3 linked regions of the Mus musculus genome follow. The protein of the gene in region 1 purifies or fractionates together with the protein of each later gene. This does not show direct contact. Links are inferred from orthologs where the notes say so. Each region holds a gene or a part of one and is shown on either strand. Other genes may lie near its edges.

Region 1 (7,124 bases):
CGAAAGGTTCAAAACCTATGGGAATGTCTTTCATACTTCAACTTCTGACTCAATGACTCAACGCAGTGGCACAATCAATGTAGAAGGTGAGCTGCCTTTTTAAAACATGAAATAAAATACCAGAGTGCATCACAATACCAAAGATCAGCACTTGTTTCCCGTCATTTGTTTCGGTTTATATACGCATGGACCAGTCTACAAAATTTACTGTCAGTCAAGCTTAAAGAAAATGGGACTGAACGCTATGGCAACTTTGAGTACCGAGAACTGGTACCTAAACACTCGTAGTGTTTGTGGTAGGCACTCGTGCACAAACGTGCACCCAGAGGCCTTGGTGTCTTTCTCTATTGTTCTTCACATTTTTTTTAAGGCAGGGACTCTCACCAAACTGAAGCTTGCTGTTTCAGCTAGGCTGGCTTGCTGGCTAGGGAGCTCCCAGGATTTATCTGTCACTGCAGTCCCCCACCCCGCATTGTTGTGACACGGCAAGTGAAGACACGTCCTGAGCCTGCTGAGTGCCGGGGACTAAAACTCAAAGTCCTCTCGCACAGCAAACACTCTTATCCACTGAGGCATCTTCAAAGATCCGTAAACAGGACCTGTCTTAGTTAACAAAACCCACGTCTCACGCCTAAAACGAGTTGTACTTTCTTTCCACTAGGACTTAACCTACAGAGGAAAAACAAGGAAATAACCACAGAAAAAGCGCCAAGGAAGACCAAGAGCACGGCTAAGAGCCTGGGGAGACAGGCAAAACAAAACCGAACAGTTAAGCAACTCAAAACAGAAGACTGGTGTTAGATTTTTATGGGGGGAAAAAAACACACAAAAATAGATTAGTACCAATGTATTCAATTTAACAAAAACAGTAAAAAAAAACAGTTCCAGCAGGAAGTGGTGATGGACACTTGTAATTGCAGCATCTGGGGGACAATGAATTCAGGAATTCAAGGCTAACCTTGGCTACAAAGTAAGTTTGTGGACAACCTATCCTAAAAAAGAGGCCAAAAAAAAAAAAAAAACAAATTCCAAAGTTAATGAAACATGGTTTCTATGAACCTTTCAGATTAAGTGTACAATAGCATGTGAATAATCTCAAAATTCCTGAAATGTCTGTCCCTCCAAGCTTTCTTCTCAACGTCTTGAAGGTAAACTAAAGAGTATAAAGAATTTAGTTGGGCAGTGGTGGCGCACGCCTTTAATCCCAGCACATTGGGAGGCAGAGGCAGGCAAATTTCTGAGTTCGAGGCCAGCCTGGTCTACAGAGTGAGTTCCAGGACAGCCAGGGCTACATAGAGAAGCCCTGTCTTGGAACAGCCCCCCCCCCCCCAAATAAAAGAATTTAGTTAGCTGGGAAACTCAGGTGAAGCACATTTGCCTACCATGTGCAAGGCCCTGGATTAGATATCCAGGACTGACTAACACACACACACACACACACACACACACACACACACACACACTCGTCCTCTACTCGACCCCCCCCCCACCTCTGTGTGTACACAGTTTAAACTAAATTCATATTGTCTGGGAAGAGTTACTTGTTTTTTGTGACAAGGTTCCTAGGCATTCCAGGCTGGCTTTTGAACAAAGATCCTCCTACCTACCTACCTCCAGTTTCCACGGACTGGGATTACACACCAGGTTCGCTCAGTCCTTTAAACGTTTATTTTAGAAATCATAACTACTCATCAAAATGAGCAAATTATATTACTGACAGGAAATCACCTCTCAAGTCTTCTCTGAGTACACATAGTTCCTGCTGAAGCAGAGCTGTAGGACACAATTATTCTAGAACAAGGTGGACAAGCTCCAGTCCTTTAAATCTCGCCCACCAAGGGGCTTTTGCATGGCCCTGAAGCAAAGCATGATTTTTTTCATTTCCAAGTGATTGAAAAAAAAAACACAGAGAGAGAATATTTTGTGACCTGTGAAAAGTACACAGAGTTCAGATTTCAGTGTCTATAGTTTTGCTGGAAGATGGCCAGGCTTATCCATATTTTCTATGGCTGTTGTGTTACAACACCGAAGGCTGCCTGACCCCTGTCAAAAAAAAAAAGTTTGACCACCAGTGTTCTAGAACTCGGAGGACCCATGCTACTCCACTCTTCTAACCGCCCCCCTCCCGCCTCCAGCCACCTCTTCAGCGTTAGTCACCAGCAAGATTCTTGGAGCTGACATGGAGGGAGGGCGTTATAATAATGAATTGTACCACATGGGAAAACAAGAGACCCAAGACAGTAAATTTCTATATAAGGGAACGTGACTGTTTCTGTCACATACTAGAGTAACGTCTGAGTTGGTTTCTCGATCAGAAAAGAGAGCATCCTCGAGGCCTCTGCATGGTTGCGTTTAAGCATGAAGGCACTTGGAAAGCTATCAAGGGAACAAATGTTCCGGGGGTGTTTCTGCAAGGAGAGCCTCTGAGTTTAGATGTAGACTGTGGTTCCCTTTAAGCGTAGGCGCCTGGGCCCCTCTGCTCTGGCCCTCTTTTTCTCCCTGGGATCATGTGGCTTTCTCTTCACCCCCCCCCCCAAGGCTAAAAAGCTTCAGAGAAATGCAGAGCTCAGGTATGCAGGCCTAGATTAGCCCAGCCCAGCTCTCTCCAGTTCAGCAGCCAGCTGCAGGGTCAAAATGGGACCCCTTCAGGTGACAAGAATGACTCAGCAGGGGCCTAGGCAGGAACTGAGATAGGGAAGCAGTGGCAGGCACAAAATCCCCTGCAGCAGCAGGAAGCTAAAGAACCAGTAGGTTAAGGACGCACAAAGGTGAACATACAAAAAGTCATTTAAGTCAACTTTCGACGAGGGGCGGATTGAAGGCCTGCGCCATCGCAGGCCTTAAATAAAGGTCTGCCCAGCTTCTGGGAGAAAAAAGAAAAACCCGCCCAAGGTCTCTCCTAAAGGTCCCTTTCGCTTATGACAAATGTCACCAGAGCTCGACTGGGCCCTCGATACAGTTGAATGGGGGAGCCTTTGAGGGGTGCAGAAAACTGCGTGGCCGTGATTATCTGGGAGACTTTGCGGGCAGTGTAATCTCTCGAGACCAGGAAACCATTTTCCTCACTGGCTCTGAGATTTTGCTTTGCTAAGGCGGCTGCAGCTTCCCTGCCCCCCTCGCACACCCCCGCCGCCGCCGCCGCCGCCGCGGCTGCTGCTTTAAGCAACCACGCCCCGCGGGCCCCAGGCTTCTTGGCCCTGGGGCTCGCAGCCCCCGCGCAGCCTGCACACCGCGCTCGCATCCGCCCCACCCCCGCGCGGGCCCAGCCGCCCCCGCGGCCAGCCTGGGGAGTGACGCCTCGCGCCTGCGCCTCGCCGACTTCCTGCCGCGGAACGCCCCACCCACTCTCGAGAAGCCCACCCCCGGAGAGCGCGTCAGACCCTCCCGTCGCACGCTATTGGTCCAAGCCGCCGAGCCGTTGGCTCCCAGGCCCGCCTCTTCTCCGCCTCTCCAATTTCCCAGGGCGGCTGCGCCTGCGCTCAGCTGCCTGGGCGGGCTGAGAGGCGCGGGTTGAAAAGTCTCGTTCCAAGTTTGGCGAGAGGGAGAGAGAGGAGAGCGGCTCAGACCTCGCTACCCGCCAGCGGGGAGGAGGCAGAAGAGGAGATCGCGGCGTCTGGGGGGAGAACCCAGACGGCCAGACCGAACTCAGGCTTTTCCGAGCGAGGACTGCGTGACGTGCCTGGGAGAGGCAAGGAGCGCCTGCCGGGCTGCTCTTGACTAGCGAGAGAGAAGTCCGAGGCGGCCAAGGGGGGCGAAACGACCCGACGCAAGATGGCGAGTAAAGAGAGTAAGGATGCCTGCCCTGTGGGGCGGGCGGGCGTGCGGGCGCCGGGACTCCGGGGGGCTGGCGGGCTCCCGAGGCCTCGGCACGCGCTGACGAAAGGCGCGAATTGGCGTGAGGAGCAGGGGGCGGGGCTGGGCGCGAGACTCGCCGCGCGCCTGCAAGGGGGCCTGCGCGACACGGGGCCTGGTCGCCGCCGAGGGCCGGGAGCATTTCCGGAGCCGGGCGCGGGGGCCGAGAGAGAGGCCCCCCTTCCCCCACCCCCACCCCCACCCCGCGGCCTAGCTCCCTCCGACGCCCTTGGCTCGGGGGCGCAGGCGCTCGCGGCCCGAGAAGTCAGCGGCGGGCGCGGATTCTTCCGTGCGCGTGGTCGTCGTCCGTCTGGGGTCGCGGCCCGTGTCCGTGTCGGGAGGGGGGGGAGGAGCTGGATCCCGCCGGACTATGGCTGCCGATCGTGGCTTGGTGGGGAGCTGGGGCCTCCTGCGAGGGTGGGGGGTGGAGGGAGCAGGCCTGTGGGCTGCTGCTGTTCCACGTGGATTGGATCTATTCGAGTGGGTCGGGGCACCGGTTTACAATGCGGATCATCGTAGAACAGGTGCGAGCGGCTATAAAAAGGCTGACGAGCTCGGTGGTAGGGCAATTAATGACCCAATTCGGGTAAGCGCCGGAATCCCGATCTTGGAAGTGGAGGCGAAAACGCTTCCTGATGTTGATCTTCTCACTTTGTGGGAGAGCAGTTCGTGTGAGCAGGATAGGTAAAAGGAAAGAATAGATAAGGTGTGGCCGTCTCGAGGTGACCTCCAGGATCCGTAGCCATGCCTTTGACTCCGAGCCTTCTCAGCCACTTAATTGTGGGCTTTCTCCAAATTTCAGTGTTTGAAGATACTGTGGAGGAGCGTGTCATCAACGAAGAGTATAAAATCTGGAAGAAGAATACACCGTTTCTGTATGACCTGGTTATGACCCATGCTCTTCAGTGGCCCAGTCTTACCGTTCAGTGGCTTCCTGAAGTGACTAAGTAAGGGTTTCTGCCAACTTCTATTTTGTGTAGATTTAAGTACCATGTTAAATTTCTAGGTATTGTTAATGTTATTTTACACACAGAACATAAATACCTAATTGGTTAGGCCGAGGGTGAGGCGGCAAGTGGTTGTTCAAAACTTAAGATGGTTTCTATCGTAGAGGTGTGTTGAGAGGAGAGAATATTGTGTAATACTGTGTATAGGAAACGATGACTATTTTGCCATTCCATGACCAACATCTCTGGACTCTAGATCAATACATTATTTTCAAACTTAATAGGAAAGATTACATACATAACAAATTAAAAGCTATTATGGCTTGATGCATTAAGTGATTTTCTTGAATATTTGTAAGATTTGGCATAATTACTGATATTTATGGAGCACTTAGAATAATAGAACCTGACACATCTGAAGAGTTTAAGCCTCATAACAGAACTACTGTTGCGATTCAGAGATTTACCAGTGAGGAAAGGGGATGAGAATTTTAAGCACGGTGCTCAAGCGCTCACTACTGGCGATCTCATAGCTTACAAACTAGGGCTCAACCAACCAAAACCGGTTGGCTCCAGAATCAAGGCACTTCCTTCACTAGACTACCTTTAGGTAGGCATGTACCTTTTTTTTGTAATTTTTTTAAAAGATTTATTTATTTTTATTATATGTAAGTACACTGTAGCTGTCTTCAAACACTCCAGAAGAGGGAATCAGATCTCATTACGGACGGTTGTGAGCCACCATGTGGTTGCTGGGATTTGAACTTCAGACCTTTGGAAGAGCAGTCGGGTGCTCTTACCAAGTGAGCCATCTCACCAGCCTGGCATGTACTTTTTCTATAGGAATATGGGCACATACCTTAAAAGTATATTGATTTTTTTTTTTTGTCTTTTTTTTGTATAGTGAGCCTATAATTAGGGTCAAATGAAACTAATATACAAGGAAGAATTTGTGACCAGTGGTAAAAAGAAGCTAGTTTTAAAATCACTTGAAAGGGCTAGGTTCCATATATGAATATTGACCTTCCAGATGTGGGCTTGCTGTCTCAAAATCTCATGTTTTTTATTTGCAGGTTTTTTTATGTTAAAATTCCATTTTAAAAATCTAAATGTCCAGTGAGAAGAGTCTTGAATTGCTACATAATGGGGGCTTATAGGCATTGATTTTAATTTTTTCAGCACTGGAGGTGGTTCAAACCCAGGGCCTCAGCATAGTAGGCATGTGCTCTGTGGCTAAGGTGTTTTGAACAGATTCTAAAATAGACTGAGGGTTGGCAAGGTGGCTTCGCATGGTAAGGCACTTGCTTCCAAGCCTAAGAACATGAATTCAGTCTCCAGAACTAGAAAGCATTGACTCCTGCAAGTTGTCTTTTGATCTACACATGTACACTGTTGTAGACATGCATATCCACACACAATAAATAAATAAGTAAATAGAATAAAAATAGAATGAGCTGGGTGTGATGGCACATGGGTATAATTCTAAGTTATAGGCCTGCCTGAGGTATACTCATAAGACCATGGATTTTTGTTTTTGTTTTTTTAAGATTTATTTATATGAGTACACTGTAGCTGTCTTTAGACACACACCAGAAGGCGGCATTAGATCCCATTACAGATGGTGTGAGCCACCATGTGGTTGCTGGGGGATTGAACTCAGGACCTTTGAAAGAGCAGCCAGTGCTCTTAACCACTGAGCCATCTCCAGCCCCAAGACCATATTCCCCCCCCCTCTTTTTTGAGACATTGTTTTTTCTGTAGCCTTGGCTGCCCTGGAAATAAACAAATACACATACACACACACAGACACCAGGTTGTCCACTAGCTCACAAAGATCCACCTGCCTCCCAAGTGCTAGTATTAAAGATGTACCCTACCACCACCTAGCAAGACTGTGTTTCTCAGGAAGACAAAAAAATCCAAAGGGCAAAGGAATAAGTTAAGTGGTTAAGAGCACTAGCTGCTCTTACAAAGTACTTGGGTTTCTGATTCCCAGCGCCCAGCTGGTATGTCAGCCTTCTGTAATCCAGGTCCTAAGAGATGATGCTCTTCTCTCACTTACACAGGCCTGAGGCAGAGAAAACACTGCTATACTTCAAATCTTGAAAAAAATTAAAGAATAACAACAAAAACATCAACCTATCTATTAACAAGGGTATTCAGGTTCTTTGGAATTTTGCTGCATTTGTCTTTTTGTTTTTCTGTTAATTAACAATTATGAACAGTTTGGTTTTTTTTTTTTTAACCTTTTTACTTAACTGAAGCATGATAGAGGCTTTTTTGAATTTTTTAAAAGACTTATTTTTATTTACATTTAAAAATTTT
Region 2 (3,500 bases), on another chromosome or scaffold:
AACGTCCTTCCCCACCTGGCCATGCGTTTTCATGTGCCTGGTGAGCTTGCTACTCTGGGCACAGGCATAGTTGCACAGCTCGCATTTATAAGGCCTTTCGCCCGTGTGGCTTCTCCTGTGGACAGTGAGATTGCTACAGTTCTTGAAGACTTTCCCACAGTACTCACAAGTGTCGCTGCGTCTGCCCTCTTTTGAGCTGGGCCTGCCCGGGCCCGGACCACTAATATGGGGCGTGCTCCCTCCACTTCCTGTGCCGCTGCGCCCTGAGATCCCTCCGTCCAGCTCCCCGGGCGGTGTGGAGAAGCGCAAGCTCCCGTTCTCCGAGGAGTGCTCTGATGAGGAGGCAAAAGGCGATTGTCTGGAGTCTCCGAAAGTAAGGAAGGGATCTTTGAGCTGCCTGGAGGCCGCATAGCCAGCGAGCCACTGCGAATACACGTTCTCCGTGTTAGGCATCGCGGCCGGGGGCAGGTCAAACTCCTTCTCCAGCTTGATGCGCTTGGAGAAGGGGCTCAGCGAGCTGGGGCTACCCAGCAGCAGCTTTTTGGACAGACCCCCCGAAGCCGATTCGCCGGGGGAGCAGCCACGACCATTAACAGTGCCATCGTCTATGCGGTCTGACTCACCGGCCACCGAGTCTTCATCACAAGTGTCCCTATGGCCCTCGGCCTCGGCCAGGTGGCTACGCTTATGCTTTTCGCCCAGGACCTGGTGGAAGGCCTCGCTGAAGTGCTGCATGGAGCTGAGCACCATGCCCTGCATGACATCGGGCAGGGCGCGGCCCTCGTCGCCCACGCCCACCACTGCGCCCCGAGAGCTGTTCTCATGGTGGCGTGCAGCCTCCAGGCTCAGCCCGAAGCCGTAGTCCACCCTCTCGCTCTCCGTCAGCTCCTCCTCCTCCTCTTCCTCCTCTTCTTCTTCTTCCTCGTCGTCCTCCTCTTCCTCCTCATCCCCGTTCTCTGGGATCAAGTTGGGGTCGTTCTCACTCTTGAACTTGGCCACCACTGACTTGAGCGCACTGCTGGCGCTGCCCACCAGGTCGCTGGTACCAGGTTCCGGGGAGCTGGCTGTGGAGAGGCCATCGTCGGACTTGACTGTCATGGGGGACGATTTGTGCATGTGTGTCTTCATGTGACGCTTCAGCTTGCTGGCCTGTGTGCACGCGTGGTCGCACAGGTTGCACTTATAGGGCTTCTCACCAGTATGGCTGCGTCGGTGAACCACCAAGTTGCTCTGAAATTTGAACGTCTTGCCGCAGAACTCGCATGACTTGGACTTGACCGGGGGTTGGGAGGGAGGAGGGGCGGATTGCAGAGGAGGGAGGGGGGGCGTCGCCAGGAAGGGTGGCTTGCTACCTGGCTGGAATGGTTGCAGTAACCTTTGCATAGGACTGGGCCGGCCTGGGGACAGCGGTGGACTAGACGTGTTCCCTGCCAGCTCTCTAAGTCTCCTAGAGAAATCCATGGCGGGAGGCTCCATAGCCATTGGATTCAACCGCAGCACCCTGTCAAAGGCACTCGGGTGATGGGTGGCCAGGGCCATCTCTTCCGCCCCCAGGCGCTCTATGCGGTGGGGGTCCAAGTGATGTCTCGGTGGTGGACTAAACAGGGGGGGAGTGGGTGGAAAGCGCCCTTCTGCCAGGCCGGAAGCCTCTCTCGATACTGATCCTGGTATTCTTAGCAGGTTAAAGGGGTTATTGTCTGCAATATGAATCCCATGGAGAGGTGGCTGGGAAGGACATTCTGCACCTAGTCCTGAAGGGATACCAACCCGCGGGGTCAGGGGACTTCCGTGTTCACTTTCTAAGTAGATTCTTAATCCATGAGTGTTCTGTGCGTGTTGCAAGAGAAACCATGCACTGGTGAATGGCTGTTTGCAAGTTGTACATGTGTAGCTGCTGGGCTCATCTTTACCTGCAAAACAATACAACACCAACATCAATGCTTAATCATTGAGGCAGGCATCAGCAATTGCTTATTCATGTTCCAACAACCAGCCTCTCCTGGCCCCATCTCGTAAGCCTCAGCCTTCACCCACCTACCCTGGTGCCTACGTGCTGTTTTCCATGTCTGGAGCCCAATAAATATTTGTCAAATTAGTAGTCTTGGTGACATTTTACTCAGTTCCAAGAGTTCCATATTCAAGCCCCATAGCACAAAGTCCTAACTGGTCCAGGCTCAGTTAAAAGGAACACTCCATTCTAGGGGTCTCAGCAAGTCATTTCAGCTCTGTGCCACTGTCTCATTGGTTAAATGGGGTACTGAGACAAGGCCAAAGCCAGAGTCAGTTTGATGTCTCGCAGGAAAACGTTTGCACCCTGACTCCTCTGGTCCTAGTCCATTTTCCTGTGGGTCGCAGGAGAGCTTAACTTTCTAACAAGGCAATATTACTGCATAGAGATATCAAAAAGAAGGTCAAAAATCAATATAATTCTCTGACCCTACATGGTTCAACTGGAAACACACTAATTGTTGGTCTGTCTTGGGTTCCTTAACATCCTATAATTCCATGTTTAATCTCAAGGGGGTGTTGTGATTAAAATCTCAAAAGAAAAATGTAATTCTGATTTAACTGAAAAGCTGTATTGAATCCTTAGGCATTCTCCCCAGTTCAACAAAAGAGAGAGTAGAGAAGTTAGGAGTGGCTGGTGCCAACTTCAGCAGACCCAGCATGCTGGTTGTAGGAGCAGTGGCGGCAGCCAGCACCATGACAGGCGGCAGGCTGAGCAATGCTACCCTAGCCGCAGCCTCATTATTTTGAGAGGCTAACAACGTGAACCAAATTATACAACATCCTGCGCCCTCGGCTGAGACTAGGCTCCAGTTGAGAAAGAAACAGAAAGATACAGTTCAGCTAGTCAACTCTTTGGCCAGTGGCCAAGCTGTCTGGAGAGGGGCCCTGCTCAAGTCACATTGTTTCTCTCTTACTGAAAAGAACCCAAGAGTGGTAAATGCCACTTTGGCAAAGAGGTGGCCGGCTTGACTTCACAAAATTCATTCATTTTTTTTCTGATAGCTAAATTTAAATATATATTCCCATATATGTACGTAGCTATATATATGTATGTTAAGGAACCCAACACACACATATATGGGGTTTATGGAGTAACCAACAGTTTACCAGCCAACTGCAACATTTAAGGATGTAGAAGAGACAATGGCCTAGGGACAAGGATGAGTCTAGCTAATGTCCCAGACACTTTAAAAAAATGCCAGGGCTTAAAGTATAACTGAGAAATACACTTTCTCCCCTATGTGAGGCTAGAACAGTCCCTTAACCCATAGCTAGCATTCCTAAGTAACTTTTTCAATGGAACAAAATTCACCAGGGAGCTAAGGAGTGGGCACAAGGAATTCATCAATTATATGATTCCTCCATTTAGCAAGTCAGAAAGAAAAGCTGCCAAGGTCTTCTCAGGAGCCCCAAACATTCATATTCCAAAGCAAGCCAGCCTCGCTCAAGCGCTTGTCTAAATAATGGACTCCTGCCCTGACCTTGTAATT
Region 3 (7,024 bases), on another chromosome or scaffold:
AGGCATCTCATACTTGGAAAAAAGCAGAATATAATGTTTAATGAGAAGTCTCCAGAACTTTAACTATCCACAGTAGAACAGCATTTCCGACTCTCAGAATGGTTTGGCATGAGTAGGTAAACTACTGCAGGGAAAACATGTTCCTTATGGAAACACATCCATGTGACTGTCACAATCACACCACACACCAGCAGCACCTTCACCATTCATACTGTCCCTTCTTAGGAAATCACCAACACAACTTGCCAAGGACTCCATAATCCTCGTTACCATCTGATACTAACTCACTGAGTCTCAAACATAGGACTCCACCTCCTGAAAGGAGGCTCTCAGTTTATCTCCTTCCCCACTAATTCTCCAAGACCCTAAAAACGTCTCTAGTAGATAGGAAGTAGTGATACGTACAGGTGTGCTTGTTTTACAGCCATTCATTCATTCATTCATTCATTCATTCCATGTCTGAGTCCATCCTATGCACAAGGAGCTGTGCTGGGTGCTGAGGGAAGACTAAGAAAAGAGACAGAAGCCAGCCTCCAGAAAGCTTATAATCCAGTCAGGAGGCAGTCAAACAAGTAGAGAGTTAGTTTAAAAGTGCCAAGAGCCAGTGAGACGGCTCAGCAGGTAAACACGCATGCCATACAAGCCTCGTAACCTGAGTCTGATGTCAAACCCCAAGTGAAAGGGAAGAACCATCTCTCAAAGCTATCTTCTGCTCTTCACATGTGCGCCATGGCATGCATGTGATCGATCGATCTATCTATCTATCTATCTATCTATCTATCTATCTATCTATCTATCTATCTCTCATTCTCTCTCTCTCTTTCTCTCTCTCTCCTCCCAAAAAACCACCATATGCACAAGCACAATACTTTATTCTTTAAAAAGAATTGTGGAATTTATCATCACTAAAAATAAAGTAAAATGTACAAATGGCGGTGAGTATCATAAAGAAACGCAGTACAAAGTTAAGGTAAACACGGGCGGGAAACCAGAGCCATTCCGCTGGGTGGTGGAACTCTAACCAATGGCGGTTAATCAATAGTCTGAGGAGCAGAAGCCACATAAAAGCCAGGCAGGCATAGCAGCAGCCTGTAATCCCAGCACAGGGAGCAGAAACTAGGGCTCCCCAGGCCATTCACAGGAGCCAGACTTACCAGAATCAACACTCTACTCAAGAAGGAAACTTGTGTCCATAAGTAAGGTAGAAAGCCATCAAGGACAAATCTCTAGCACCACAAACACACTCATGCACCCACACACATAACCACATGTATACACACACACACACACACACACACACACACACACACACACCCCTCCCCCCAAATTAATGACTCAAAACATTCTAGAGACTTAGGCATCTGACTCTCCAGTCAAGGGCAGTATATAGGTGTAATTTCCTAATGTGAAATAAAGTTTAAAGGAACCATTGAGAGAGGAAAAAATAATTAGAACATTCTTAAAGATAAATATCTCTTAAATATACTTTTGAAGCCGGGCGTGGTGGCACACGCCTTTAATCCCAGCACTCAGAGGCAGAGGCAGGCGGATTTCTGAGTTCGAGGCCAGCCTGGTCTACAGAATGAGTTCCAGGACAGCCTGGGCTACACTGAGAAACCCTGTCTCGGAAAAAAAAAAAAAAAACCCCAAAAAACAAAAAACAACAACAAAAAACAAACAACAAACAAACAAAAAACATTTGAAATGGAATAAGAAATTCTCTTCCTTAATATTTAAAAGATATTTTTAATCTAACCCCATTATAATCCCATTATAATCTACTAAAGAATTACAAAAAAAAATCTATAAACAACAACAACAAAAACCCATAGATACCAATGTTCATTACAACTTGGGCAGTTGTCTTAGAGTTATAAAAAAATAAAAAGGTTAAAAAAGACATATATCATCTTAGCACTCAGGAGTCAACAGCAAACAGGTCATAATTTTAGAAAAGATCTATTTCGAAATAAAATATGTGGGGCAGTGGTGGTACACGCCTTTAATCCCAGCACTTGGGAGGCAGAGGCAGGAGGATTTCTGAGTTCGAGGCCAGCCTGGTCTACAGAGTGAGTTCCAGGACAGCCAGGACTACATAGAGAAATCCGGTCTCGAAAAAAAAAAACAACCAACCAAACCAACAACAACAAAGACAGAAAGAAGACACAGTCAGCACTGGAAGCAGGAGACTCCTGACTCCTCATGTCAGTTACAGAGGTCGCTGGCCACCGGAACCACTACCGGGTTCCTCTTCAATATGCAGGGAATTTTACCACCCTGACTGAACAGTTCTCCACAGAACATGTCACAACTCATAACTTACGTTCTGTTTTAACTCGGTGTGGACCCAGTGTAGCCATTGCCTAAGAAAAAAGATGGGGGAAGGGGAGAAAGAAATCTGGATTCAGACTGAAAACAGATTTTGTGATTTATAATACACACAGTGTCCTCAATTAGTTTGCTAACAGAATAAAATATAAACATTGGCTGTTCTCGTTTTCTCCTGGTGATAGGGGAAGAGCACAAGGCGTCACACATGCTAGGCAAGCAAGTCAGGCAAGCACGCCAGAATGAGTCACCCCAACCTCCAGGCTAACGGTACCTAAAGTCATAAACAACACCTCCTTCCATAGCCACTATTAATAGCTGAAATATGTTCCCTGGACAATTTATAAAAATGGCAATTTTTTTATATTTTAAAGATATTTATTTTATGTATGTGAATATACTGCCACTCCCCTCAGACACACCAGAAGAGGGCATCGGATCCCATTACAGTTGGTTGTGAGCCACCATGTGGTTGCTGGGAATTGAACTCAGGACCTCTGGAAAGCAGTGAGTGCTCTTAACCACTGAGCCATCTCTCCAGCCCCAAAATGAGAATTTTTAATAGGAAAGCAAGCCTCAAACCTTGTAACCCAATTCCCAAGAAGGCCAAGAAAGGAGGCTTTCAAGTTCAAAGACAACAGGGGCTACCAAGTGACTTCTAGGGCAGTCTGAGTGAAATAAAAAATAAAAATGGTAATAGAAATAAATAAAAAGTAAAAAGATGACAAGATACACAGCTCCATTCTTAAACAAGCATCAAAGAGTCACACCTCAATAGTTATTAATATAATATAAAGCACATAGGTTCAATGCATTCATTCAAAAAATGTTTACTAGGTGCCTTCTATACACCAGAAACAGAAAAGCTCTGAACCCTAACACTCTAGGCAAACTAAACATACGCTATTCCATACTCTTGTATAAATTGATACACTATTACAGGAAAAAATACAAATTACTGACATGTCTCTAATTCTTACAATATTCTACAGCCCATGTTAAGCAAAGCATATTTCCAACAATTTCATTTTCATATATTGATATACTCTTAAAAGGCAGAGTATAAAAATGTACTTCTGCGTGTGGATACTTCATTCCTCCCTAGAATAGGGAATAAAATACCCATGGAAGGAGTTACAGAGACAAAGTTTGGAGCTAAGACGAAAGGATGGACTATCCAGAGACTACCCCAACGGGGGATCCATCCCATAATCAGCCACCAAAGCCAGACACTATTGCATATGCCAGCAAGATTTTGCTGAAAGAACTTAATATAGCTGTCTCGTGTGAGGCTATGACAGTGCCTGGCAAATACAGAAGTGGATGCTCATAGTCATTTATAGGATGAAACACAGGGCCCCCAGTGGAGGAGCTAGAGAAAATACCCAAGGAGCTGAAGGGCAACCCTATAGGAGGAACAACAATATGAACTAACCAGTACCCCCTAGAGCTCATGTCTCTAGCTGCATATGTAGCAGAAGATGGCCTAGTCGGCCATCATTGGGAAGAGAGGCCCCTTGGTCTTGCAAACTTTATATGCCCCCAGTACAGGGGAATGTCAGGGCCAAGAGTGGGAGTGGGTGTGTAGGGGAGCAGGGTGGGAGGAGGGTATAGGGGACTTTTGGGATAGCATTTGAAATGTAAATGAAGAAAATATCTAATAAAAAAAATTTTTTTAAAAATGCACTTCTGCCGCACCATTCGCCAACCATACCTTCCTAATTGTCGTCCAGTCCTCAAGAATGTCGAGATCCTGCAGCATATAAACTATATATGGACGTTGAGGCGTCAAGGTCAACTTGCAGCAAGAACATCACAGACCCAGTGAACTGATGCAGGAAGAGTATGGGTTCAAGGCCAGCCTGGGCTACATACAAGACCTTGCCTCAAAAGCGCCTGTACAAACTGACCACAGTGCACCATGAGCCGCCGTGTCCCCTCCACCCCGTGCCGAAATGGTTTCCACAGTGTGGAAACCCAGAGTGCGGAAAGGATATCTGAGACAACGACCGGCTTCTTCTTGTCGGGGCTGAACGGATCCTTCCTCTTTTTCCGTGACTGAAGCTCGTCGTTCCACAGCTCTGCAAGGGAATCAGCGCGTGAGCTCCTTTCCAGCGGCCACAGGAAGAACGGGCAGCGCAGACTTTCACATTTACTGCTTCTTTACATACAAATCTCCAGGGAACTGCACTCAGAGGTGGTTCCTTTTCATTTTTTTACACGTATTTACTTATACATAGCGTGTGTTGCCTGCACGCTTGCACACCACAACTTACACATGGAGGTCAGAGGGCAGCTTAGGAGGGTGTGGTCTCTCCTTGCACCGCATGGGTGCTGGGGATCAAATTCAGGTTGCCCGCCCTGGAGGCAAGCGCCTCCCCTCTGAGCCGTCTCTCTAGTGGCTGCCCTGAGGTAGGTGTAGCTATGCTTTTTACCTCAGTTTTCCATACAAGGACACCCACTTAGAAAGACTAGTCAACTGTCCACAGACACCTAACTCATGAGCAAAGCACCCACACTGATCTCACCACATCTGCCCCAACTATAGCAAAGAAGCAAAATCAAGACAAAACCAGTAATACCTACTCAAGAACTGTGGGCCAATCTAGTAAAACTGCCAGTGCCCAACAGAAAACTTCCCTAAGTCATCCTGAAATGGCCACACTTCACACTGACTGGGTCTAATCATCACAGCAGGGTTTCCTTTCTCCAAGGCAAACACCTACCGCCCTGAAACATTTACCCACTCGCCTGGAAGAACACAGGAAGCTGTCTTCCAGCAAGTCCCGTGGCTAGCTCCTGTCACACTGCTGGTCTGTCCCTTTTCTAGAGTGTGCCTCTGAATCCAAGGAACAACCTCTACTTCATCTCGCTCTTCCGAAGTCCCCCCTGCTCCCTCCAGCTAGGACACTGCATTTGCATAGCATCCACTGGAGAAGACTGAGGCTTTTGGGGACACCACATCACACGGCAGCCCTGACCTGAGGTAATGTCGATGCTGTGCCTGTCCTCCTCAAGCCTTCTTATCTTCTCCTCAAGCTCACTCTGGACTGTATCATATAACAAAAGCTTTTCACTCTGGAAAGAAACATGATACTTAAGTGAAAAGAAAGAAATACCAGTTTATCTTAACTAGCAATACCAAATGATTTAGCATACGTTAATATATGGTGGCTTTGGTTTGGTTTTGGTTTTTGGTTTGGTTTAATAAATGGTTGTTGCATTTGCTTTTTTCATTTTTCTAAATTATTTTTGCCTCCCCCACCACACACCCCTGTTCTGAGAATTGAAGCAAGGGTGTGTACATGCTAGATAAGTGCTCGCCTCTGAGCTACATCTTAGCCCCCAAATTAAAATTTTTGAAGAAAAATTTTCAGTATATAAAAGAAATAAAACCAGGGGTCAGTTATAAAAATAGACTTAACTAAGTAAAATAGCATCCTGCTTAAGAATATCTAAATTGAAGCCGGAGAAATGGCTCAGGTCACTTGTTGCTCTTGCAGAGGACCCAGGTTCAGCGCCCAGCTAGGAACTCAACGCCATCTGTAACTCCAGCTCCAGGAGGTTTGATGCTCTCCACAGACACGCGCACGCATGCACACATGCGCACAGGAGCGCGCACACACGAATTAAAAAAAATAAATAAAATTTTTAATTAAGTAAAATAGATCATATTGGGTTTTACTGTATCTACATCATATTAAATACAGCAATATATCGCAAAAAATATTTAGATACAAATTTTAGAGCCATTTAAAGCAACTCAATAAATATATTTCAGTTAGAATATACTAAAGCAATAGATTGACTTACAAAAATGTAGTATGATAACTCAGGTATAAAAGGATAGATTAACTACATCAGACTCACTTGCTAAAACCGACAAGACGGGGAGAGGATGAAGTCTAATGGGGAGTGCTTACCTAGCATGTTAAAGGCTCTTGTTCAATCCTAAGTACCACAAAAATATAAATCCATGAATAAAATGGACAGTAAATAAATAGGTAGATAGATAAACAAACCACTAGAAGATACATACAGTATAACCTTCAGGTTTGTGCAGATTAAATTTGCAATCTGTATCAGAAGAACTCACAATCGACACACAGACCTGCTACCTATAAGAGTGTGTGTGGCCTTCCCCAACTTTCCCCACAAGAAGTCTTGTCTTATGATAGATTTCGTAAGATGCTCATATCTATAATATTCCAGTATTGACTTGAAGTAATGTTGTGGTGAGTGGCTTGTGACTCTGTTAGCGGCTTGTCCCCTCACTAACTTCATATCAGCGATTAAACCTAGGGCCTTGTACATGCTGTGCAAGTGCCTACCACTTGACCTATAGCAGCCAGCTTTGACTTTCAGTTTGTGACAGAATCTTACTAAGTTGTTCATGCTGACCCCGAGATCAGTCTGGAGAAAAGGTAGCCCGTTAACCTGGTATCGTACTGCCTCAACCATCCATGGAGCTGGAGTTACACACCTTCTCTACCATGCTCAGCCTTATAGGCTTTTATGAAAGGCCCTCTGTGTTATATTTATATATTTTTATGGCGTTTTTATAAAAAGAGCTACAGTGGTATATAATTATAAACAATTAGACCTTTTAGCCCTGAGTTTTAACCTGACCTGGTAAGACAGTGATTAATTTTACTATCATTATTATTTATTTTTATGTAAGAGTGTCTTGCCTGCA

The links.
Region 2: the proteins of Rbbp7 (region 1) and Bcl11a purify together in Homo sapiens (affinity purification with mass spectrometry; 4 studies listed by BioGRID and IntAct, counting the BioPlex papers as one, with this or other methods). This does not show direct contact. The link is inferred for Mus musculus from reciprocal best matches to the Homo sapiens genes RBBP7 and BCL11A.
Region 3: the proteins of Rbbp7 (region 1) and Brms1l purify together in Homo sapiens (affinity purification with mass spectrometry; 4 studies listed by BioGRID and IntAct, counting the BioPlex papers as one, with this or other methods). This does not show direct contact. The link is inferred for Mus musculus from reciprocal best matches to the Homo sapiens genes RBBP7 and BRMS1L.

What each region holds. Positions count from the first base shown.
Region 1 is NC_000086.7:162,756,921-162,764,044, forward strand, and holds the start of Rbbp7 (histone-binding protein RBBP7), read left to right. Parts: upstream 1-3,451; 5' UTR 3,452-3,771; coding exon 3,772-3,787; intron 3,788-3,928; exon of another isoform or gene 3,929-4,243; intron 4,244-4,654; coding exon 4,655-4,799; intron 4,800-7,124. UniProt on the Homo sapiens protein: Core histone-binding subunit that may target chromatin remodeling factors, histone acetyltransferases and histone deacetylases to their histone substrates in a manner that is regulated by nucleosomal DNA.
Region 2 is NC_000077.6:24,161,556-24,165,055, reverse strand, and holds part of Bcl11a (B-cell lymphoma/leukemia 11A), read right to left. Parts: intron 1,911-3,500; coding exon 1-1,910. UniProt on the Homo sapiens protein: Transcription factor. Associated with the BAF SWI/SNF chromatin remodeling complex. Binds to the 5'-TGACCA-3' sequence motif in regulatory regions of target genes, including a distal promoter of the HBG1 hemoglobin subunit gamma-1 gene.
Region 3 is NC_000078.6:55,858,473-55,865,496, reverse strand, and holds part of Brms1l (breast cancer metastasis-suppressor 1-like protein), read right to left. Parts: intron 5,407-7,024; coding exon 5,310-5,406; intron 4,410-5,309; coding exon 4,326-4,409; intron 4,108-4,325; coding exon 4,043-4,107; intron 2,364-4,042; coding exon 2,324-2,363; intron 1-2,323. UniProt on the Homo sapiens protein: Involved in the histone deacetylase (HDAC1)-dependent transcriptional repression activity. When overexpressed in lung cancer cell line that lacks p53/TP53 expression, inhibits cell growth.